Linked DNA regions of Lonchura striata. The protein of the gene in region 1 purifies or fractionates together with the protein of each later gene. This does not show direct contact. Links are inferred from orthologs where the notes say so. Each region holds a gene or a part of one and is shown on either strand. Other genes may lie near its edges. The genes, in order: NHSL3 and WASF1.

Evidence for each region.
Region 2: the proteins of NHSL3 (region 1) and WASF1 purify together in Homo sapiens (affinity purification with mass spectrometry; 3 studies listed by BioGRID and IntAct, with this or other methods). This does not show direct contact. The link is inferred for Lonchura striata from reciprocal best matches to the Homo sapiens genes NHSL3 and WASF1.

The regions. Positions count from the first base shown.
Region 1 is NC_134628.1:901,489-914,118, reverse strand, and holds the start of NHSL3 (NHS-like protein 3), read left to right. Parts: upstream 1-3,890; coding exon 3,891-4,095; intron 4,096-12,630. UniProt on the Homo sapiens protein: Able to directly activate the TNF-NFkappaB signaling pathway.
Region 2 is NC_134605.1:69,127,353-69,140,068, forward strand, and holds the start of WASF1 (actin-binding protein WASF1), read left to right. Parts: upstream 1-6,109; 5' UTR 6,110-6,110; coding exon 6,111-6,205; intron 6,206-12,716.

The DNA.
Region 1 (12,630 bases):
CATGCCTGTGCCAACCCTGATGTGCCCATGGCATCCCACAGGGCACCGAGGCTGTGCTGACATTCCCACCGGCTTTTCTCTCCCCAGGAAAATTCAGGATGCTCACAAAGGAGCAGGAAATGCCTCTTGTGGCCACCTGTCCCTGTCACCAGGCCACGGGTGATGCTCCTGGGCTGTGCCAGAGCTGTCCCTTCCAGAATGGGAAGGGAGAGACCCTAAAATGCTGGTTTTTTCATCCCATTCCACGCGGCGGGCGCCTGAGCGAGGACATCAGTGCCTCCCTTTTCCCGTGCCAATTTTAAAAACCCATTTTTACAGCTGAGCTGATGCTCAGCACCACCAGCAGCAGTGGCCGTGTCCCAGCGGGGTCACCGCAGCCCGGGCTCCGCTCTGGCTTTTTCCATCCCCCGGGGCAAGGCACGGGAGCAGGAGGCGATTCCGGCGGAAGGAATTTGGGGTGAGAAGCGGCACCCGCGGGGCTCAGAGGGATGCGGGAGGACCTTGTCCCGACGGAGGCGTTAATGAGGAATGAGGGAGCAGCCATGCCCCGCGAGGAGATGGAAATGAGGGCAGGGGATGGATGGGCACAGCCCGGGGCAGCGGCTGCACCCTGGCACGGCTGGCAGCAGCTCGAGCCTGATACCAATCCGTGGTATTGATGATTCCGAAATTGCAAAAATTCTCTGTCTTTCAGCCCCGCTGCCAAAGCAGAAGCCATAATTGGTCTGTGCTGGTTTCCAGGTTGTTTATTCTGTTGATCTCTCACATGTTCTGCTGCCCTGCCCAGCTCTGTCCTGCAGGGCAGCGTGTGGGGCTCTGCCCTCAGTGGGATGTGACAAACATTCAATACCAGAAACTCCCTGGGCTGGATTTACAAGAACGTGCCAATATCTGTCACCTACGTTGGACAGTGTGTCCCCAGCCTGAACCAACAGAAAAATGCCAACACCACAGTGAGACATGGAGGGCATGAAGAAGGAGAAAAAGGACAAGGCACACCCAATTTCCTCCAGCTTGTCCCCTTTGGACCCCTCATCTAGAATCCTAAAATTTTACTTTTGCACCCGTGCCACACTTAATTATTACTGCTATCAAACACACAGAGCTGGTAATTGATCCTGTAAGATTGAAAACTCTTTTCCATGGACAGAGATCACAGCCAGTGTCTCTGGGGGCTCTGTCCAGGGGGGTTCTGACCCCTGCCAGGGTCCCAGGGCAGCCAGAGGGAAGCTCTGGATTCCCACAGCAGTTTGGGTTTTTTATTCTGGGTTTCGCTTCCCAGGGATTCCCCATTTCACCCGGGGATGTGGCAGAGTCTCTGCCTCCCCTCCCCTGTGCCTGGGTCTCGTGGGAGCTGAGTTTTTGTGGGAGCTGCTGTCCCCAGGATTCTCTGTCATCATCCTGGCCCCGCGGGTGGAAATGATTTACCCAGCTGGGGACCCCGCACGCTGCTGGTCTGGAGCTTTTTGGGGCCCTTCATGAAGTGTTGGGGTGCTTTGGGGAGCTCCTGGAATTTCTAGGGCTGGGACAACCTTCCTCTTCACCTTCCTCCTGTGCTTCCCTCACCCCTCTGTCCCCGCAGTGTAACCGATCCTCTCCCCCTCTCTCCCTGTCATTACTTGGACAATGCTCCATTACTCTGTGCAGAAATATTTTTCAAACTGGTTCTGCTGCCACACGAGGAGGGGAGAGATGAAAAATGAAAAATGGGATTTTTTTTTTAATTTTTTTTTTTTTTTGGGAGGCTAATGACTCGGAAGTCAGAGCTGGCAGCAGAAAGTCAACCCAAACAGCCTAATTGGGGATTAGAATCTCCTCAGTGCAGCTCAGCTCAGCTCAACAAAGCCCAGGGAGCAGTGACACGCTCAACCTTCATCCTGGAAAAGAATCACCTCCCTGGCACCACAGAGAGGCCCAGAGGTGCCGGGAAATTTCAGCCCAACTCCTTCCAGTGCTCCTTTCAATCTTCAGTTTGGGTTCAGATGGGTGAAGGAGGGAAAATGTGAGGCAGAGACACAAAAGCCCAGCAAATCCCAGCCTTTCCTCAGGCATCACCCTGGATTTGGAGCCAAATTCCCATCCCTGCTCACTGCTGCTATTGGGAAGCAGCTCAGGTTTGCTCAGCCCACAAGATAGAAGAGCCAGTGCCCGAATCCCACGGGAGATGCTGATGTGCTGGGAAGCCTGAGAGATGGAGAAGCTTCTTGCTTTAGAAATCTTCCAGCCATTTCCAGCAGCTGGCAAACTCCTCCGGGCGTGCGGCCAGGCCCTGGGAGCGTTGGGAAGGATGTGGCTGCAAGAGAGGCAGCAGGAAACGCAGGGAGCCGAAGCCCTGGGAGCCAGGAGCGTGGAAATGCAGCAGAAACCACCTGAGTTCTGCTTGGGATCCTTCCCTTGGCTTTGCCACGCGTCCTGCCGCCGGCCTGCTGCTCTTCCAGCTCAGTCCCTGTGTCCTGTTGTCCCCTCTCGGCTGGATCACAGAATCGTGGAATGGTTCATGTTGGAAGGGAGCTTAAAAGTCATCTTGTTCCAATGCCCTGCCATGGGGACACCTCCACTGGGAGCTGGGATCCCACTGGGGGCTGGAATCATCCCACCGGGAGCTGGGATCCCACTGGGGGCTGGAATCCCACTGGGAGCTGGAATCATCCCACCAGGAGCTGGAATCCCACTGGGAGCTGGAACCCCACTGGGAGCTGGAATCCCACTGGGAGCTGGGATCCCACTGGGAGCTGGAATCCCACTGGGAACTGGAATCCCACTGGGAACTGGAATGCCACTGGGAGCTGGGATCCCACTGGGAGCTGGAATCCCATTGAGAACTGGAATCCCGCTGGGAACTGGAATCCCACTGGGAACTGTCCCAGGCTGCTCCAAGCCCCGTCCAGCCTGGATTTGGGCACTTCCAGGGATCCAGGGGCAGCCCTGGCTGCTCTGGGCACCCTGTGCCAGGGCCCTCACCCTCGCAGGGAAGGATTTCTTCCTGAAACCTAATCTCGATCAGATTGGAGCGGTCATGCTCCCGAGCTTGTACCGGGTGGTGAAATCCTTTCCCAGGCAGCTCCTGCTGCTCTGCCGGCCTCAGGCAGAGCCCGGAGAGCCTCTCCAGGGGGCTGAATTCCCCTTCCCGCGGTGCCATTCCGTTTTCAGGAGCTGATTGATCACTCGCAGCGAGCAGCAGCGTGGCACAGCTCAGGTGTGGCCGAGTCGGAGCAGCGTGTGACACAGGGCGAGTGTCACCCCCGGGGCCAGCAGGTGAGGAACCGGGGGAGCTGCGGGGTGGGAGGGCAAGGGCAGGACACGGCTGCGAGTCCGGCTTCTCTCCCGGGACCGGGACCGGGACCGGGGCCAGCCCCGCCGGGATGAGCCGGACGCCGCCCCGGGGATGACGCTGCTGGAATTCCGCGCTCCGCTCCCGCTCGGGTGCTTCCCGCTTTTCCTGCGCCTGTCTCCCGCTGGTGCTCAGCACCTCGGGGCCCAGAGGGTCCCAGAGGGTCGCAGAGGGTCCCAAGGGCGCCCCGCTGTCCCCGCACCGCCCCCTCCCCGCGCGGAGAGCGAGGGGACAAAGCCGGGACCCACCGGGGAACGGGAAGAACACCTCGGGCGGCTCCGGGGGTGACCCCGCTGGCAGCAAGGGGAGGGTCCCCGGTCCCCACGCCCCCGGGGCCACCTGCGGGCTCGGGGGGGCGGGCGCCGGTGCGGGCGGAGCTCCCGCAGCCCCGGCCCCGCCCCGCACAGAAACTTTCCGTCGGCGCCGGGCGCTCGGCGGGAGCCCGGAGCGGGGCCGGGGCTGCGGCCGGAGCCGAGCCGAGCCGAGCCGGGCGGGCCCGGCCCTATGGGCAGCGGCTGCCGGCGGTGCGGGGCGCTGCGGGGCGCTGCCCGCCGCGGCCATGTCCGCCGGGGCTGCACCTGCGGCGGGCGGCGAGCGGGAGCCGGAGCGGGGCGGCGGCGGCGGCGGCTCGGAGGGCGCTCCCGGGGCTCCCCCCCGGCGGAAGAAGGGCCGGGCGAACTCGCTGCGCCGGGCGATCAGCTGGCTCCGGGGCCGGCGGCGGCAGCCCAAGGACGGCAGCGGCTCGGGAGGGACGGAGGGAGCAGGTGAGGAGCGGGCGGGGTGGTGGCCACGGTGGCACTTAAGGAGGGGGCACGGTGGTGGCCACAGAGGAGGTGGGCGAGGAGATTTTCAGGGAGCTGCTCAAAGAGGTGGCGAGGTGGTTTTTCAGCCCCAAAAATCCTGTCCCACCCTTAGCCACGGTGGTGGCTAAGGAGGGGTCACAGCGGTGGCCACGGTGGCCTTGGTGTGGTGGCAAAGCGTTGAGTGGTGGCTGTGGGAGTGGGCAGGGAGGTGCTGGGGTGGTGTTCTCAATGGTGGCCAAGGCAGTGGGCAAGGAGGGACAAGGTGGTGGCTGTGGAGGGCTCAGGGTGGCGGCAGCGGCCAAGGAGGAGTCACAGCGGTGGCCATGGAGGTGGTGAAGGAGAGGTCAAGGTGGTGGCTGAGGAGGTGTCACAGTGGAAGCCAAGGAGGGTCAGGCTGCTGGCCCTGGAGGTGGCCAAAGAGGGGTCACCGTGGTGGCTGAACAGGAGTTGAGGTGGTGGCCGTGGACGTGGCTGAAGAGGGCGCACAGGAGGGGCAGGGGTGCTGGCCATGGTGGTGGCCAGGTGGGGTGGAGCTGCTGGCCATGGTGGCAGCAGGGGCAGGAGGTGGCAGCGGTGGTGGCAGTGGCCACGGGGGCCGTGGTGGCCGTGGTGGCAGCAGGGGGAGGAGATGGCAGCAGTGGTGGCAGTGACCACGGGGGCTGTGGTGGCTGTGGTGGCAGCAGGGGGAGGAGGTGGCAGCGGTGGTGGCAGTGACGACAGGGGCCATGGTGGCCGTGGTGGCAGCAGGATGGATCCGGCAGTCCCTGGCACAATCTCACCCAGCCCCGAGGGCTGGTGCTGGTTCACTGGGTAGGTTCTCCTGCGCTGAGTCAGAAGGTCACTGGGGCTGAGGGAATTCTGGAGGGATGCCAGCCGCTGCCACCTCCTCCTCCTCCTCCTCCTCCTCCTCCTCCTGGGCAGGGTGTTTGCGTGCTCCAGGTGTGGCCCTTCCTGGCCCAGATACGGTCTCAGCCCGGCCCGCTCGTGCCTGCTGCCTGCACGGCCCGGTCATGTCCCTGCCACCCTGACCAGGACAATCCTGCAGGGGCAGCTGCCCTGGGTCCCCTCTCTTGGCCACCCTGGAGCCCTGTTTTGGGGATCCAAGGGCTCAGCCAGCGAGCTTTGGCAGAGCCATGGCTGCTGGCTTGTCTGGTCACGCTCCTCTCCTCAGCGCTTTTTTGGCAGTAGCAGATGTCCCAACAGGGAAGGTTTCACCCCAAAAGCCTGTCCCACCCCAAAAGCCTGTCCCACCCCACGCTGCTGGGGACAGTGTCTGTGTCACAGCCCTGCCCTCCCTGAGGGCACCTCTGGCAGGGATGTTTTGGCTCTTTTGCCAAGGGAGAGGCCTCTCCCGTGGCACCCGAGCGTAGCAGGACGCTGCCAGCTGGGACTTTTTTCCTCACTTTGCTCCAGGGAGTGAATTTCCAGGCACGCAAGGCTGCGTGCTGCCTGGAGAAGCACACGGGGATCTGTGATAGGACAGGAGTGGCCGTGGGAAGGGAAAAGAAGCTTGGGAAGAGCTGAGCTTTCTCCTGGGCCGATCCATCGGATGCTGCTGGTGGTTCCTCCGTGTGTGGACACCGCTGCCACAGCCCAGCACTGAAACCTGAGCAGAAAAAACGAGATGTGCCGGAGCATGTGATGTTCCTCTTGGCAGCAGAAACGCCCCCAGCAGCTCTGCCAGCCCGTTTTTTCCTTTTTTTTTTTTTTTTTTCCCTGAAGTTGTACCGTTCACCAGCTAAACCCTCAAAATGCCAAGTCACGGCCTGTCAGGGTCACAGCTTGGGGACCTCTCTGTGGCAGCTGTGCCAGCCAGGGCTCTGTCACAGCACTGCCACCCTGCTGTCCCATCGGGAGAGCTTTCATTGCATGGAGGAGCCCTTCAGTGCCCCAGCCCGGGGGACTCTTCCCCTGTGGGCTGCATCCCAAATTCTTCTCCGCGGTGTTGGGGGAGAAGCAGCGCGGATGTGCCGCGCTTGCAGCTTGCCTGCGTGCCTGAATCACCCTCCCCGTGCAGCTCCGGCCCGCAGAGCACGCCAGGAACCCCTCCCTGCTCCAGCGGCCCCGGCACCCATCCCCGCGGGATGGGGACAACGTTTCCCTGCAGGGTGGGGGGGTCAGATGCCTCTGGATGCTGTGGGAAGGAAGGAGCGTTCGCCCCGGGTGTTCTCCAGGCTCGGAGCCGGCGGAATCGCCGTGCCACACGCGGCTCTGACCCGGCCGGAGGCTGCGCTGGCCCCACGAGCATCCGTGCAGCGGGACCAGCTGGGAATTCTTCCAGCCCTTCGTCTCCAGCATCCTGTCCCTCTGCTGCTTTTGCAACCTTCAAGTCTTTAGGGTGTCTGGGAGCCCCTAAAGACAACCAACCTGCTCCCCAAATCCTTGTCTCGGCACAGGATCCACGCCCTGGGACACGCCAGGGGACCCTGAGCACTCCGGGCAGGGGAAGAGCACAATAATATTGACGGTGCTGGGAGCACTGGGAGGGGGAGTGGGGAGAGCTGCGGCAGGCTCTGCGTGCCCTCAGCTTTCCCTGGGTCCCAGTGGTGCTGGGGGATTTGGACCAGGCAGTTCCTCATCCCCCTGGGCGTGGATTGCTCATGGATTTGGGACAGGGTTGTCTGAGCGTCCCGGCGGTGGGGAGGGGGAGTAGGATGGCTCCAAGGGGTGGGAAAGACAGAATTCATCGCAGGGCACCGAATCGGGGCTCATTCCTGAGCATCTGCCTGCCCGGCATTGCTCAGCACTGAAATCACGGCGCAGGGAGGATGAGAGCATTTCCCCTTCGGACCAATCCCCCGGGGCCCGTGGCTATCAGCGATGCCATCTCTGGCTGCCCAAAGAGCTGAGCTGTGAGGAAAGGTTCCCTAATCTCTTTTTGGGAGGGCAGGGGGAAGTGTCTGCCTGGATCTGGGGCAGGCTCCAGCCTCTCTGCTTCTTCCTGGGAGAGAAACACAAGAGCTGAACCCGGGGGTTTGATCCAGGGGGCTGCAGAGGGGTCAGAGGAGGATGTCCATCCCGTGTTTTGGGGTGGTGGGAGGAAGCCTCATCCCAGCCTGGAGATGCCCCTGGCTGAGCAGAGGAGAACTGCTGTCCCACAGTCCCTGGGCAGAGATCTCTGACCTGCTGCCCGTGTGGCCGTGGCCTTGTTTCATCCCCGCTGCCCCGAGGCTGTCCTGTGAACGGGGCACAGCCGGGAGTGGAAAACAGGGAATTTTTTCCCACCCCTGGGCGAGCATCAGCTGCCTCCCCAGGGGACACCAGTGGCTCCAGGAGTGGGGGGTGGCTCCATCCCAGCTGGAATTGCATCCCCGGGATGCTCTGCACTGCTGGCTGGGTTTATTTCCACAATAACCTCTGGAGGCAGAGGAGTGATGAAGGCCCAGCGAGGGCAGCTGGGCTGTGCCAAGGGTCACGCACAGAGCCAGGATTTGGGGTGCCCGGCTGTTGCCACTCCCTGCGCTGGATTTCTGAGTGCAGAGATGGAAACACAGCTCTGGGATGGAGGATGAGCTGGTGCTGGGGTCCAGCGCTTTTAGTCTGGTTGTTTTGGCTGCTGCTTTATCCGGCTTTCACAACATTCCTCTTAATTCCTTGATGAAGTAAAGGAATCGATGTTCCAGAAATATTAAATTAGGGTTGGCTTTTTTTTCTCTCTCTTTTATTTTTTTTTTCCTCTTTTTATTTTTTTTTTTTTTCCTTTTTGATGCCAGCTTAGTCCAGCAGCAATGATTTCCTCACTGGGGTGGGGGATAGTGCTGTTAAAAATAAAGCTTTCGATGCTCACAGCTGCTTTGTAGCAGCAGCAAGTGCTTGTTGGGACTGGGGATTTGCCATGTGCGGGGTGAGCAGAGGGTGGAGGGGCTGGGCTGTGCTGGGGATCGTGCTCAATTCCTTCATGGAAAAGGTTTTCAAGCACTGGGAGGCGTTCAAGAAACAAATGGACGTGGCACTCAGTGCTCTGGGCTGCTTGACAAGGTGGGCTTGGATCACAGGTTGGCTTTGATGATCTTGGAGGGTTTTTCCAACCTTAATAATTCCGTGATTCTGCACTGGTGACATTCGATGCCGCAGGGTTCACGTGAGCCCTCAAGGCAATGTGGGGCTGAGCTGTGGAATCTCCCTGGACAATTATTTCCTGCATCCTCTGCTGCCACGCAGGGTTTGGTGTAAACACAGGGCTTGGGTTTAGCCCTGAGCTTGTCAGCTCAAAGGAGAGGGGGGAGGCGTGGGGATCGTGTGTGGGAAGGAGTTGGTTCATCTGCCAGAGGCACGGAGCGACACTTCAGAAAATGTGAGCAGCAGGAATCCCCTGGCTGGCCGGGCCTGGCACCGGCGAACAAAGAGAGGTGTGTCTGCAAGCACAGCTATTCCACCTGGAGACAAGCGGGAGAATGACTCCTGAGAATAACGTTCCAGAAGAGCCGATAAAACGATTTCGGCGGGGTCACGTTTCCCCCGTGGAAGGCAGGTCTGGTTTCATAAGACAATATCATCATTGACTCCGGCAGCGATGGGAACACGACCCGCTGGAAGGCAAAGAGCTGGGCAAGGATGAAGTGAAAAACCATTTCCCTGCCAAGCAGGAGCCGGAGCCTTGGGCTGGTGGTGCTGAGCATGGATAAAACCCACCTGAGCCTGGGCAGGGAGCTGGGCTCCCTCCACCTCTGCAGGCTGGAGCTGGACCTGTCAGCAGCAGAGCCAGCCTGGAGCAGGAAATCCTTTGGAACCCTCCTGGTTATGTATTTCTGTTAATGATTGGGGATCTCAAGTGGGGTTTTTGTGTTACCTTTGCCTCGCTGAGCTTTACTTCCCCGTGAAGGGAACAAGGGCTGAATTCCTTTCTCATTCAGGCAGCTCAGCTCCTGCTCTCTGCTGGCTGGGAGATGGGATCGGGTTTAGAAAACTCCAGAAGGAGTGGGTGAAACACCAGGAGGGACGGACAGAGCAGCAGGAGGGATGGAGAGAGCACCAGGAGGGATGGAGAGAGCAGCAGGAGGGATGGAGAGAGCACCAGGAGGGATGGACAGAGCAGCAGGAGGGATGGAGAGAGCACCAGGAGGGATGGAGAGAGCAGCAGGAGGAATGGAGAGAGCACCAGGAGGGACGGACAGAGCAGCAGGAGGGATGGAGAGAGCACCAGGAGGGATGGAGAGAGCACCAGGAGGGATGGAGAGAGCACCAGGAGAGATGGAGAGAGCAGCAGGAGGGATGGACAGAGCAGCAGGAGGGATGGAGAGAGCACCAGGAGAGATGGAGAGAGCAGCAGGAGGAATGGAGAGAGCAGCAGGAGGGATGGAGAGAACAGCAGGAGAGATGGACAGGGCACCAGGAGAGATGGACAGAGCAGCAGGAGGGATGGACAGAGCACCAGGAGGATGGACAGAGCACCAGGAGGGATGGACAGAGGACCAGGAGGGATGGACAGAGGACCAGGAGGGATGGACAGAGCAGCAGGAGGGATGGACAGAGCAGCAGGAGAGATGGAGAGAGCACCAGGAGGGATGGAGAGAGCAGCAGGAGGGATGGAGAGAGCACCAGGAGAGATGGACAGAGCAGCAGGAGGGATGGACAGAGCAGCAGGAGGGATGAACAGAGCACCAGGAGGGATGGACAGAGGACCAGGAGGGATGGACAGAGGACCAGGAGGGACAGATCTGTCCCCTGTGCCAGCACAGAGGTGTCCCCAGGCCTGCACTGGCCGCTCTGGCCAAGGGAATGTGTGACTTTGGGGAGATCAGATGTGCCTGGGGCAGTCACGCTGTGCTGGCCAGATCTGTATCTCATGAACAGCTTCTCTGCTGCTTTTATCAGAGATCTCTCAGTGAATAAAACCAGGGATTTCTGGCCTGGAGAAGAAATTCTGCCTGGAATCAGCATCTGTGGCCCCCAGCTCCCCATTCTCACCTGCTGGGGAGGCTGAGGGTGCTTCCCCTCCTTCCCCTCCCCTCCCCTTTGGGCTGTACTGAGGTTCTAACATGGAGCAGGAAATTGGGGTGCTCAGCTGTCCCCACAGCTGTCCCCACAGCTGTCCCCACAGCTGTCCCCACCCCCCAGGCTCCCTGAGCCAGGTTTCTGCTCCCAGCAGCACCAGCCAGCTGTGGATGCAGGATGAGAGCTTGCCTGCCCTCAGACCTCAGGGGGGATTGTGCCCTGGAGCAGCAGTGGGGCAGCTCAGTGGGGTCTGTGGGGATGCTGGAGCTCCCCCCACGCTGCTCCCAGCCCCCCAAATTCGGCAGGGACAGAACCACGGGGCCCAGGAGGAGCTGGAGCTGTGGCTGTGAGTTACCCCAGCCACTGGGTATTTTTGGCACGCGTGGGGCCACGCTCCCTCCCGGGGCTCTGCCCCAAATCCCGGGCTGAGCCCGGGGGCGGCAGCGCCTCGGCTCCCTGAGCAATGCTGGCACGGAGGGATCTGTTTTGGGAGTGCAGGGGGAAGTGTCTGCCTGGATCTGGGGCAGGCTCCAGCCTCTCTGCTTCTCCCAGAGAGAGAAACACAAGAGCTGAACCCGGGGGTTTGATCCAGGGGGCTGCAGAGGGGTCAGAGGAGGATGTCCATCCCGTGTTTTGGGGTGGTGGGAGGAAGCCTCATACCAGCCTGGAGTTGCCCCTGGCTGAGCAGAGGAGAACTGCTGTCCCACAGTCCCCGGGCAGAGATCTCTGACCTGCTGCCCGTGTGGCCGTGGCCTTGTTTCATCCCCGCTGCCCCGAGGCTGTCCTGTGAACAGGGCACAGCCGGGAGTGGAAAACAGGGAATTTTTTCCCCCTGGATCCCCTCATCTCTTTAACAGCTCCCACAGCAGATGGGGCAGCAAACCCACAGTCAGTCCCTGCCCAGCTGAGCGTGCCCTGGGCACCCAACCAAGCTGGTGAGGAGCTGAACCGTCAATATTTCCATTACTGAGGAGACTGAAGTCCAAAGATTAATTCGGTGCTGATCACCTTGGGAGGTCAGGACAAAGCTGCTGGTTGATCTTTAATTTTTTTTCCTTTCTTTCTTGCACCACCTCCCCGGTTTTTGTGCCTTTCCCACAAAACCCTCCTTCCTATTTATCCCAGCCTTTGATGAATCACCTAAGGAACATAAACATTGCCAGCAGGAATTGCCCACCACTGCCTGCCTGGCTGACCCCTCCCTGCCCTGGCAGCATTTAATGTTCTAATTAAAAATCAGGAGGGAAAAGTGGCCTTGGGGAAGGGGCCGTGAAGGGAGGCGCTTGTCCGGGTGGCTCGGGCAGCTCTTGGAGCAGCAATTCCCGTGGCCAGCAATTCCCTGGCTGCTGGCAGAGCAGGGATTGGGGCCGGGAGAGGCCGAGGTGCTCCCGGAGAGGGACGGGAAGGTGCCGGCAGTGTGAGCAAAGTGCTCGTGACTCGCCCCAGAGGCAGGAGTGGCCGTGGCGAGGGCGGCAGGGGCTGCCACCCACGCCAGGGCTGGCATGTGGCTGCTCGCCCTGACTTTGGGCACAGCGGCAGGACCCAGCCCCTGGCCTCGGGCGCTTTGGTAGTCCTGTCCTAACCTTGGGTGGGCTGCGTGAGGTCTCTCCGTCCCCAAAAAAAACCCCACCGAGGTGGGAGGGTTGTAGCGGCGGCTGCTGGAGATGAGCACGGCCAGAAGCGGTGGCGGCAGCGTGGCGAAATCCAGGGAGCTGCGAGCGCGGCTGGAGGCGAAATCCCCGGCTCGGGGATGTTTGGCCAGCGGGGCTTCTCCCTGTATCACCCCGGCATCCCATCCCGGGCGGAGGGATGGGTTTGGGAGGGTGCTGTGCGATCCGCTGGAGGTGAAATCCCCGACTCGGGGATGTTTGGCCAGCGGGGCGTCTCCCTGAGCCCGTGTATCACCGCGGCATCCCATCCCCGGAGGAGGGATGGGTTTGGGAGGGTGCTTTGCGATCCTCTGGAGGTGAAATCCCCGACTCGGGGATGTTTGGCCAGCGGGGCGTCTCCCTGTATCACCCCGGCATCCCATCCCCGGCGGAGGGATGGGTTTGGGAGGGTGCTGTGCGATCCTCTGGAGGCCAAATCCCCCAGTCGGGGATGTTTGGCCAGCGGGTCGTCTCCCTGAGCCTGTGCATCACCCCGGCATCCCATCCCCGGAGGAGGGATGGGTTTGGGAGGGTGCTTTGCGATCCTCTGGAGGTGAAATCCCCGACTCGGGGATGTTTGGCCAGCGGGGCGTCTCCCTGAGCCCGTGCATCACCGCGGCATCCCATCCCGGCGGAGGGATGGGTTTGGGAGGGTGCTGTGCGATCCGCCGGGCCATCCCGCCAGGCCCCTCCTCTCTCTCTGCCCGTACCATTGGCTCCGGCGCGGCCGCCTGCGAGCGCTGCGCTCCGCCGGGGCCGGGGCGATGGGGAGCGGCGGCTGAGAGCCGCGATCCGCCGGGGCCGCGCCGGAGCCCGCTCGCTTCGGCCATGTAGCACCGCGGTGCCCTCCACCCGGCCGCGGTGGAGGCGGCAGCGGCCTCATGGGCAACGCGCAGCGCAAGAGGAGCCCGGC
Region 2 (12,716 bases), on another chromosome or scaffold:
ACTTACAAAAAGACTATCTGAATTTGTTGGATGAATATTTCTATGAATTTTTGCATGAATCATAGAATCATTTTGATTCAAAATACCTTTAAGATCATGGAGTCCAATCAATATCCTTACACTGCCAAGGGCATCACTAAACCATGTCCCCAAGTGCCACATCTACGTGTCTTTTGAACACCTCCAAGCCTATATCCTCTTCCCACACATGAAGTGACTCAGGTATTCTGTGCCAAATAACAGCCCATCCTTATGCTGAATCCTGTGTGAGTTTCCATTCCACGTCCATTCTTTTTCTGGGATGTCTTCAAATTGTGTGGGTTCCTGGCTGGTATTTCAATGTACTAATTCCAGATTCCTGGACATTTTTCTCATCTTAAGTTAATAAAATAACCTGAATCAATATCCAAAGAACACCTCCTGACCTGTTAATCAAAGTATTGTGAACTTCCTTGACTGTACAACTTGTCTTCCCTCAGAGAGGCATACTGTTTCCTGGTTTTAATTAAATTTGGTTATAATATGTTTTAGTTATGTAAAACAGGAAGGATAATAACATATAAAAGTACAGTCAGAGAGAATTTTTAAAGTTAGTATTAATTATTAATCTATAATGGAATTCATATATTGTCTCTTGTCATCAACTGAGTGAATTGTATTCCATTTAATGTTAGGGTCAAGGCTGTAACTAGATTTCAGGTGGAGCTTGATTAGTTAATAAATAGGATTATACAGCATTGTCTTTTGTATTACATAGGATTAGATTTGTGGTTTAAGAATGATATGTCCTACCCAAAATGTATACATCACAGACAGTAAAATCTGTTTATTTTCCAAGACTACTTAATGCTGTGTTTATAAATATCTTAAGCTCCTCTCTGCCTAATTGAGACATTTAACTTAAGTCACCCACACATGCTTAGAAGTGCTTAATTTGTCTAGGTATGTGGGTAGCCTCCTAAATTCTCTATTATTCCCAAAGGAAGCTTGAAAAGACAGCCTTTGGGATTAGATCTATGACCAGTTTCATCTCTTCTGAGAGTGATCATTACTGTCTCTGACTTAAAACATTTGGTTGGTTATGCTGTATTAGAGCACTGAAAAATATGTGTACAGCACTCAAGACAGGTGATTTAAACCCATGTCTTCCCATTTCTAGGGGAGAAAGAGCTAAGTAATAGAGGAAAAATGGAAAAGTACCTTTCAAGTGACCAGGACATTCAGCTGTAAGGACACATATCTAATATTCAATAATTCTGAAACTGGTTTTATCTAATGACTATATATGTAATGGTTTTATCCAATGACTATATATATGTATACACACACACACAGACACACACACACACATATATATATATGTGTGTGTGTGTGTGTGTGTGTGTGTGTGTGTGTATAATATGTATGTTTTAAGTGCATAATTATTTTCTGGGATTAAGCTCCGGGATCTAAGTTCTGCCACTTGCAGCTAATATCCCAGTTTCTGCAAAAGATTTGACTTCCCCTTGTTTGCTTGCTTTGTTTCAAGTGCCTTCACACTAAAGTGTTCTGTGGCCTAATGCTTTTGATTACTGCAGTAAGGGAGGCATGAATTCATTCCTCTTAATCTTGTGTGTATCCTTTAGTCAGTCTTTCCATTTCTCGAGGGAGTTCTTCAAACATCAGGCTGTTGTTCAGGAAGCAAGAATCATCGGACCTTTGGTGCCTGTGCTTCAAAGAGGGTAGATAGGGTTAACCTGATGCCCATTGAGGCCATTTTGATTTCCGGCTTGTGCTGTATGTCCTTGGTTTAAAAAAAGCTAAAAAAAGTGAGTGAAATGGTTGGCTCTTTTTAGGCACTTGTGATTTCTGGGCATTCTGTGGAAACTCCAGCATTGAGCTGGCTATGATGATTTCCAGCTGCTGTCGTCAGAGCAGTTGGAAGCTGAAGCAACTGTTGGTGCCTTCACAGACACGTCCATTTCCTATCTTTTCCTATGCTTGAAACCAGTATTTTGATGACACCAATATTTGATAAGTAGTATTTTATACAGTTCTGGTCTAATACTGTGTCCTAAATTCTCTGAATTTTTACAGTTAGCATATCTTAATTGCAAAAGGAATTACTAAAATTATTGAGTTCTTACATTATCTACCTTTGAGGCATCTTTATTACTTCATAATTATATGTACTAGTTCAAAGTCTAAAAATTCCAAGCTATCTTTTCAGAGCTCCCTGTAGAGACAGCTAAAGATAATCTCATTTTACATCCCTATTCTCTCACTATCTACTTTCTGCTAAATATTTGTTAAGAGAGAAAGAGCTAACTTTATTAACTCCCTTATTAGATCTGCCCTTCCTTGTGGCTGGCTGGGCTAATCTTTTTGCTGTATTATATAAAGAATTAACAGATTTACCTTCTTTTCCTCTATGTGGTCTCTTGACTACCTCAGAGGAGCCAACAGGGATCTGTGTTAAGTCAGTGTTTCCCCTATGATAGAAGGTGCTATGATTGTCACGTGTAATGGGCCTGAGGGTGTTTTCCCTCCAGATTGAGAACACCTTCTTTTCTTTGATAAATATGTACCTGCAGGTTTTTTGCTCATAGTGACTTAATCCTGTTGATGCCATAAACCATGAAGGTGGACCTTTACTGTCTCTCTATTAAGAAGTTCTGATGTAAGGTGAGTGCACAATTGAACACACTCTCCTGACCCAGTGAAGTTCCCTTGAAAAGCTTCCAAATGGGCCTAATTTCTCTCTGCTTGAAACTGAAATGGCATCTCCAGTTTGCAGACTGTAGTTTTCATTTGCATGTATTTTGTATTTCCAAGCATAAAGTACAAAGATGTGTGTATTTCAAAATGTTCTTCTTTCATGTTTGTGCCTTCAGTTATTTAAGCTAGCTTTAAATAATGATTGATGCATAGCACAAAACCAACTTAAATTTTTTTTTAATCAAGTTTCCAAACTTGGAGTCAAGAAAAGAAGGTGAATGCAGTCATTCTTTGTCTGTTTTTCTGATTCCTGTTTCATCTCAATATTTTTAAATGACTGTCAAATTTAAGAGAAAGGTCATAGGAATAAAATATTTGAAACGTTGTTGAGCTCCTGTACATATTGTTAAAATGCATGTCTTTGCAAATATTACGGGCAATGGAAAGGTAACAGTGTTAGTTTACATGTAAATAGCCAGAGGAAACCAGAGAGGGAAGGCATTCTACCGATATCCCAATTATGGAATAGCTTTAGTTAAAGCTCACAATCAACCATGACACAAACGCCTTGAGAGGACTAGCTTTAATTAGTTCTAATCTTCACAAAAAAATTAGTTTTCTCACCAATATTTATTCATTTCATATTAAGAATATTGCTCAAACTCAGGCATGGACAGTGAAAATAAATGCTGGCTATAATTAACTTGAGCATTTAAGTTTAGGGGAAAATACTTATGTAAATATGAGGACTTTAAATGCTTCTTACAGAATTACAAAGAAATCTAATTTTGTCTAGCAAATGAGTTTTTCCTTATGAGATATTTTAAAGTGTTTAAATTTTGGCTTGCAGAAACAATGGAATATTAAAATTAATTTATTAAAATACAGCACATTTAAAAACCTTCATGCATGTAATCCCTACTTGCTACAAAAATTTTCTGAATGTATACTGATTTTTTTATATAATATTTCATCGGTGTTATGACAGAAGGGAAAATAGCTCACATTTCTTCTTAATAAATATTCACATGACTAGTTTCCTTGATTTTGTGTAAAAATGTATTTATCTACTGGAAGTCATATAAATCAGGCTAATAGGAAAAAACTTCCTGTTGCAAGTTCTAAATGTCATCCTGTAAAGAATCTCATTTCATTCCAGAATAGCTACTTAAAGGACCAGGAGTTTGAGTCTGGAGCTCAGACCTGCAAAGGACATCCAAACAAGAAACTTAATTCGGTGAAAAAAGAATTTGCAAGATTGAATTTATGCAGTTGCAAATTTAGAGTAGGCAATAGCAACAAATGATGTCATAATTAAAAGTATTCGCAGAACATAAGATGATTTGTACCGGAGAAGACCTCTAAAGATAGCCTAGTTTCAGACCTTCCCCTAGGCCATGTTTCTTGGAGCCACATCCAACCTGCTCTTGAAGACTTACAGGGATAGGGCATCCATAGCTTCTCTGGGCAACCTGTCCCAGTGCCTCACCACCCTCACAGTGAAGAATTTCTTCCTAATGTCTAATCTAAACATTAAATATCTATTTAATTATACCTCTTTCAATTTAAAGCCATCCTCCCTTCTTCTATCACTACGTGCCCTTGTAGAAAGTCCCTCTCCAGCTCTCTTGCAGCCACCTTTAGGTACTGGAAAGTGTTGTAGGATCTCCTTGGAGCTCTCCCTCCAGAGTGAGCAACCCAACTCTCAGCCTGTCTCCACAGGAGAGGTGCTCCAGCCCTGTGATCCACCTCATGGTCCTCATCTGGATCCTTCAATTTTATTTTTTTTCTGCTAAGTAAGAACAGAAATTTATGACTTAGTAGAATTCATAGCACAGAAAGTGTGTGGCATCTCTAAATACCTAAATGTTACAAACAATGAGAAATAATAATTAATGTATGTAATCTGAAAGTATAGGGAAACAAAGCTCAGAGAAAGAGGGGGAATGGACACATTTTCATGTGTGGTGTGTAGCTGGTTGTAAGAGGTTACCCAAGAAATTACTGGAAATACCTTATTTCAAATGATGATATTTGAATGGAAAACTTATTGTCCCAAATGACACTACCTACTGTGTAGAAAACAGGCACATCTGAAAACAGGCACATCTGAGTGCTCTAGTCTTTAGCTTAGCAAGTCTTTAACTCACTTCATCTGGTGTAATAACTTTTGTTGTTACACCAGGTGAATTATGTAATGATCTAGCCTGCCACAGTATAAATCATTATTGAAATAGTCGGTTTTTTATATTTTATATATTATAATAATGAAAATCATTATTAAATCATCATCAGTGTTTTTGGGCTGTGAAATATTTAATAATATTTCAGTTCAAAAGCAAACAATTTCTCTGTAGATGTTAATACCTTTTTTCTGCAGCATGGCTCTTCAAACGTTAAGTAACGTAAACGGCAGTAGACAGGGAAATATGTTTTTCTGCATTGACATTTTTTGCAACAAATCCTCTTCTCAGGAATTTCATTGTTCACAAGAGGGGGAAATTAATCTACAGAGAAGCTCAGCTAGTAGTAATAAGATGATTATTACACATTTTTACATCCCACTTGGTAGCTGGTATATCTTAATTCTTTCTTTAAAACTGTGAAAAAGAAAATCAAACCAAATAATCTGTCATTTGTGTGTTAGGTATCTAAGCATAAAATGCATTTAGGCACTTGGTGTCGTAGCATAAAGTGCAGGGAAGGTTTCATTCTTAAATACACGACTCCTTCGTGGCTCTTGCAGTGCTAACACCACTTCTTCAAATCTCTAATGTTTTGAGGCATGAAAAGCTGCCAATAGTCATTGTTGACACCTGTAACTAAGTTTAATAAGGGAGTACTAGTTAATATAGTGTGTAGCACTGCTGAATTAAATACAGGAACTTCCTAAGTAGCGCCTTCATTGTGTGATGTTTCTTAGTCACAGCCTTCTGCACATTGGCCTAATTACTACTGTAGATTCCCAACATCATTTATTATTTGATTAATATGCAATTCCTTTCTCAGATTCATCAGTAATAGCAACACAATGCCCAGACTCTTGTATTCCCCTTCCTTCCTTTCCTCATCAATGCACAGCAACTCGTTTCTTTCATTTTTGGCACATCATAATTTAATATTTACCCGTTGTAGCTTGGTACCAAAGGAACAATTATTTCCTAATCACTTGCCTTCAGGGGGTTCTCTACTTGTGTCTGGAGAAAAAGGGCAGTTTGGGAGCATGCCTGTGTTTCCTTTGTAAGGACAGCCCTGTTGTTAGGGCAGGGCACTGTGTGCTGAATTCTAATGCCTGGGTGCAAGAGCCAGCCTGTGTGGAAGGGGCAGCGTGGGAGGTGCTGGCTGCGATAGCAGAGCCCCAGCCTGGGGCTCCCTGCGAGTGGGGAGCTGTGCAAGTTGTCCGGCCCGTGCCGATGGGAGCGCAGCCCTGGAGCGCCGTGGCCAGGCTGCAACACCTCATCCCCCCGGTACCCACCAGGCTGCTTGGCTTGGCAGCCAGGCACTTCAGGTACCATTCCTTTAAATATTTATCATTTGCTGCCACAAAATATTGTCCGTTCAAAAGCACGTTGTTGTGTATTGGCATAGATTTTTATGTGCATTTGGTAGATTTTGTAAGATTGTTTAAAATTTACGAGTGTTTGTAATAGGTCTTGTCCTGGATTGGCAAAGGACTATGTAACAGAGGTAACTGTTTATGTATGGAATATTTATTTTCAAGGAAAATTGTAGAAAATTTTCAAAGGTAGCATGTTCAAACCACAGAGAAGGTACCTTTAGTTCTGGTACTAAGGTTCTGATTTTAAATTAATACTGGATTAGTTATCTGTCTCTGTCAAGTCTATAATAAAGATCTTTTGTTGCAATCCATCTTAGGGCTTTTGTGTTATAAACTATACCTAGAAACTGTTAACAGGAAGACTAGATTAATGCAGAGAGAAAAAATGTCATCAGATAAAACATAGGTCTCAAAAAGCAATTTCAAGTTCCATACTATGTTATGCATTAATACATTTTTAGCCTTTGGGGAAAAGAGAAAAACTTGTAATCAAAAATTAATTTAAGCATTCTTGGCTGTACCTAAATTAGAACCCTGGATACTTCCAAAATTGTTATTAATCAAATGACCTGACAGGAGCTCACTAGGAGAAAATTAATGAGTGCAGACTTCTGAATAATATTTAGTAATGCTGACCAGAAATTTTGCAGCTCTTTTTCTAATTTTACATATGACAATTTAAAATACTTCTATTTCGAGGTAGCCATATGTGTCTGTACATGTATGTTATGCAAATATATTGTACATCTGCTCTTTATTTTTAAATTAACTTCTTCAGAAAGCTTAATAGAAATACAAGATCACGAAGTCACTATTTTTTCTTGATTAATATCTTAACAATGAAGTGACATGTGGTTCCATATGACTTAAATATTTCTCCATTAATACATGGATACACTTGTTTAATTTATTTTTTTTTAATTTATTGTAAAATATCATTGCAATTTTTGCTGGTTGGGGTATAATGATTCTCATCTTTTCTGGGAACAATTCACAAGATTTATTTTATAAGTCTTCACTGTAATTTAGTGCTATATAGAAGGAAAGAAATTGATAATTAGTATTTTGTGCCTTTAGGGTTTGGATTTGAAGAATACAATTCTATTCTATCTGGTTTCTGGTTATTTACTGGTTTGTAACTTTAAAATAAAACAGGTCATTAAAAGATTGGGTCATCATACCTGTAACAAAAGTTTTAGTTTCAAGATACTAAGAAGTAGAATTATAACGAAAACCAAGCCTAAACACCAATTAATTCACATCTAACATCTGGAAATTCTTAAGGGTGTATTTTAATTTTTAATAGACCATAGAGAGTTTTTTCATCAGAAATTTTAGTCTTTGTGTATTCTGTGTTTTTTATGTTATATGCATTTTGGAATTAAGATGTTATACAAAAATGTGGATTATAATTTTCTTATTTCTATTTTTGCTTAACATACCTAATGTGAGGGAAATTTGTAAGTCTAAATGTTTCTTGCTGTAGACATGCTAAACAGTGTTACATCTAATTTTGTTCATTGAATCTTGTTGGTAAGCCAGAAGTGTAACTGGCTTAGTGCGTTATTGACCCCAGCAGTCCTGCTGTTCAGAGTAGGTAGTGTTAAACCTGATTTGTTTTTGTTTTTTTTTTTAATTTTTCCATTTTGATTTAAATAACTTATTTATTAAGATGAACAGAGATATTTTTACAGTTATTGGGAGACAACTGCAATAATGGTGGCTGGGATTTCTTTTTTCACATGAATGACTCAAAAGACACCATAGTAAGATGGAAGCTGTTGGGAAGGTAGTGGAAAATAAAGGAAGTAGCATTGGATGCTTAATAAATTGACAAATCAGTAGATACTTGTTTATATTCTGGAAAATCATAGTTGAAAACAAAGGAAAAAACTTCAGTTATGTGAAATCAAGCTGAGTTTACCCTTGTAAAAAGGATCTGTCTTGAAAAGCCACAGTTAGTGAGCTGTTTCAACTCTGAGTTGTTTGTGAATTCCATTTCATGAATAGGAATCCTGCTTAACAATAGGTACGAGATTTGCAAAATCCACATGCCGTTTATTTCACCCCATTGCGTTTTGCACTTGTATTGGGAAAAAGAAACCAATATTGACCTGAATATTCTCTCCTTGTATTTAGGATACCTTAAGCTTTTGCTCTGTACATGTGATCAGAGTGAAATTTTTCATGAGGGTGAGAGGGGAGGGGAGGGGAGGGGAGGGGAGGGGAGGGGAGGGGAGGAGAGGAGAGGAGAGGAGAGGAGAGGAGAGGAGAGGAGAGGAGAGGAGAGGAGAGGAGAGGAGAGGAGAGGAGAGGAGAGGAGAATGTATAAATGATTGTGACAACCTCTCCCACCTGCACACTGGGACAAAAGGGGCCAGAGGCAGCCTGAACAACACACAGTTGGCAGGAATTCCAGACGAGTGGGGACACTGAGGAAAGCCCGAAGAGTGGGTTGTAGGTAGTGGGGAAAGGTAAATGATTTTCCCCAGCAGAATGGGAAATGGTGTGCAAGCCCTGAGGGCTGCACTCACAGGGTGGGGAGTGGTTGCTGCCCACTACGATGGTGTGTTTTGTGACACAGCTCATTGACTTGACCCAGATTGCAGCTTCACTCGCTGAAAATATGCTGGTGTTCCCTCTCAACCTTCAGGTAACCCCTGTAATTATGAACAGATATGTCAACTTTCTCCTCTGGAATATCACTGCTGTTCCTGTTAATGAGGTTGTGCTTGTTGCATTGCTACTGGGGAGTCGTATTTTGCACTGTTGCCCACACTGAGAACTCTGCTGACACTGCCATCATCAGAGCCAGTGACAGTGGCTATTTAAGATTTTCTTGAAAAGTTAATTTATCAGAGATAAAGCTCTTAAAAGCCAGCATACAAATTATTAATCCCTCCATTTCTTTCCACTCATAGCTTGCCAAAATTACCTTCACTTTGATGATATTAATTCATGGTAGTCACAAGCTACATAGGGCTTAAAATATAGTTTTTTCTTTTCCAGAGTAAAAAATTATTGCCCTTTTTTAATTTGTTTAGCTGAATAAATATTAAACTTTTAAATTTTGACAAGGAAGTAGATGTGGCTGTAGTCTGTGTCTGTGATCAAATCCAAATTGATTTTCAAATATTTTTTGTGTTCTTTAAAGATGAGTGTGCAGATGTATACAGGCATAGGGAGAGACTGTAGTCTTGTGATACACACCTGAGAGAAAATTGGTTGGATGGTAGTAGCTGAAAAATAATTTTTTAACAATGTAATTAAGCCTTAGAGATTGACTAGAACTCAAGTCCTACCCATATATGTGACTGTGTTCTCTTCTGCTTATCTGATGTGACAGATGTGCTGAGATGATTGCAGCTTGTTCTATAGGAGGAAAATACTAATTGCCCCAGACAATTAATACAATACAGAAGTCAGTCAATATTAAATACAGAATAAGAATTGCAAATTAATTTTAAATATATTTTATGGTTATATGAAGTAGACTGGTTTTCACAATCTGTTAATTACTGTCTTGCTAATCAAATTATTTCCTATACAATGTTATTGAGCTAGATCCTTCAGTGACCCACTGATATATTAATCTATTCCCGAATAATCTTATGATCAGTTCAGCAACAGAATATTTAGAGAGATTGTTGTTGTTATTACTTGGGTAACAGTATTTTTCGTATTTGTGACTACAAAGAAAATACGACATATTTTAGTGGTGACTCTGTGGTTTATTGAAAAAAGAAATTATCAACTTCCATTCTGTGCCCTTTATAGGCATTGCTCCTTAGGCTGACCAAACTCTTGTGACTAGAGACAGGACTCAAGGAAACAGCATGAAACAGAGGAGGTTAGATTGGGTATCAGGAAAAGGTTCTTCACCCAGAGCATGGCTGGGCACAGGAACGGGCTCCCCAGGGAAGTGGTCACAGCACCAAGCCTGCCAGAGTTCAAGCAGTATTTGGACAATGCTCTTAGGCACAAGGTGTGATTCTTGGAGTGTCCTGTGCAGGGCCAGGAGTTGGACTTGATGTTCATGATGGATTTCTTCCAGCTCAGGATGTTCTATGATTCTACAAATATGTCACAACTTTTTTGGATAGACAATCCAGTATAGGAGGTCTTAAGATGCAAATGATTCATTTTATGCTCATTCTTAAATAGCAGTGATGTCAACATCACATTCCAGTAATATATTCCACATTTATTTTCTTTCACATGCTTTTTAGTTGCAATAAAGTCTTTTCGTAGTTAGTTGAAGTTAGAAAAAAATGTTTGAAAGTGAATTGCAGATTTGAGGGAAGTGTTCCAAAGAGAAGATTTTCCATTCTACGACATGGCTCACAGAAAGGATACCAAAACTGTAAAATTAACCAATTTCTGTTGAATTGTCAATTTAAGATGTCAGTTGTCATCTTGTCAGATCTGAGATATATCCTTTAAGGGATGTTAATTACCTTTAGAATTTTTAAATTGTTATGTTGACTCATCAGTAGGTGGCTGTGGCCTACTTTGTTGAGGGACACCACACTGTAGGTGACTGTTTCTTCTTAAATTTGTACCTGGTCTTGATCTTGCATTGAGAGCTGCAGAAAAACAAGGAACACAAATTCTTTGCACATTTACCTTTCATAGTAGAGGAGTGCATTATAAGAACTTCATCTTTGAATTTTCTCCAACTGGTATGACTTATGATGTCTTGTAATATAATTAAAAGAAAATTTACCAGGAGGATGAACTTGGTTTTTTAACTTACTCAATTCTGATTTTACCAGATTTGTTAACGCATTTAAATTTTTTTATTAACTTGTGTATAGCGTAGATGCAGTTAGTACAGGAGATTTGTTAACACATTTAAATTTTTTTATTAACTTGTGTATAGCGTAGATGCAGTTAGTACAGGATTATGTAAGCAAATATAAGAACTATTATATATTCTATTTGTGATTCCTAGGGTGGGTGGGGGGAAGTGTTAAATTGATTGTTGCATTTGAAACTGTGGTCTGTTCTGCCAGCAGCTGGAATGTGATCAATTAAATGGGGCATATGAAAGGCATTGCTGTTGCACATTGTTAAAGGAAAATTACAAGCAATATTATAATACTGAGGTCTAAAGATATATTCTGGAAATGGCTGGATATAAATTTGACTCCATCAAAGCAAGGGCATTCCATGCTAGATTATTAGCATGTTATAGAAAAAAATAATAGATTAATTTTTAAATTAATCTATTTTAAATTAATCGATTAATGCTAAGAAAATAATGACATTTTTAGTAAGGATGAAATGTAACCTAATCAGAAGTAAATTTTTGTTAATAAAAACCATGTGATCATGAAATTTCGTTAGTCATCTGAAAATGAAACTGAAGTGTAATTTAATTTTTAGTTAAATTGTGGGGCAGGTTAGTTCATTTTCCCCACCTTATTGTTGTGTTTTCACTCCTACTTGTCTTACTATACTTGTTAAAAAACCTAAATCATTCCTGTGACTACTGACATCTTAGATTTTTCACAAGCTTCTAGTGAGTCACGTAACATTTCTCCACACATCTTGCAATTCTGAAATATTTCTACAGGAGGGCGTTGAAGGGAAGGTGGTAGCTTGTTTCCTGCCCCAGTGCTCCCCAGGGCCTTTTCTGAGCACCAGCAGCCGGGGACCCTGTCCTGCTCGGAGCCAGGGCTGTGGCCGTGGGGGCAGGTACCCTCAGAGCAGGTTTCTAAGGTTTCTGAGCTACTGCCAGCAGTGCTTGAGAGCTGTGAGACAGGGAAATCTCATTCAGACCCTAAGATCCCTAATAACTGGGATTAGAAGAGGACTGGGCAACACACTCAACAACTTGCTTTTTTGATAAGAAGTGTGGTTAAATCTTGTTAAATCTTTTATTCTGAAAACATTTTAATTAGCTCTCTTTAGTGCCTTGTTCTGCTAGTTTTTTAAGTAATAGCAACTAATTGAAAAGCAACTCGAGCATTTTACCTAGTTCTTGAAAAATGACATATGAAAGCATAGTAGCTTAACAAAAGCATTAGGCATAACTGTTATGTACACACAGTTGTATTCTGTACTCATACTCAAAACACATGTGAGGGGGATGAGTTTGTGCCAGCCATTGTGCAAATGAAGTAGCAAAGGGTTTTGCAAAGAAGATTAGAGTTGGCTTCTCGAGTGGATTCAGAGTGCTTCAAAGGATGTATAGGAAGTGGGGCAGAAGAGTTTTCAATAGTGACTCTCCAAATGACATCGGCACCTCTTTGATAGGAGGAGTTTCATTTTAAGATCATTATGGAGTGAAGTACTTCCAGTCAACTGAGTGCAAACTAGTGCCACTTCAGAATAGCTGCCTCCGAAGATTTGCATGGAGTTGCAGGGAAGAGGAGGTAGTTGTGTTTGAGGATTTCCTCGCCTTCCTGAGCTCTGAGCTGGGAAGCAGCAGGGCTGAGGGGAGGGAGACCTGTGT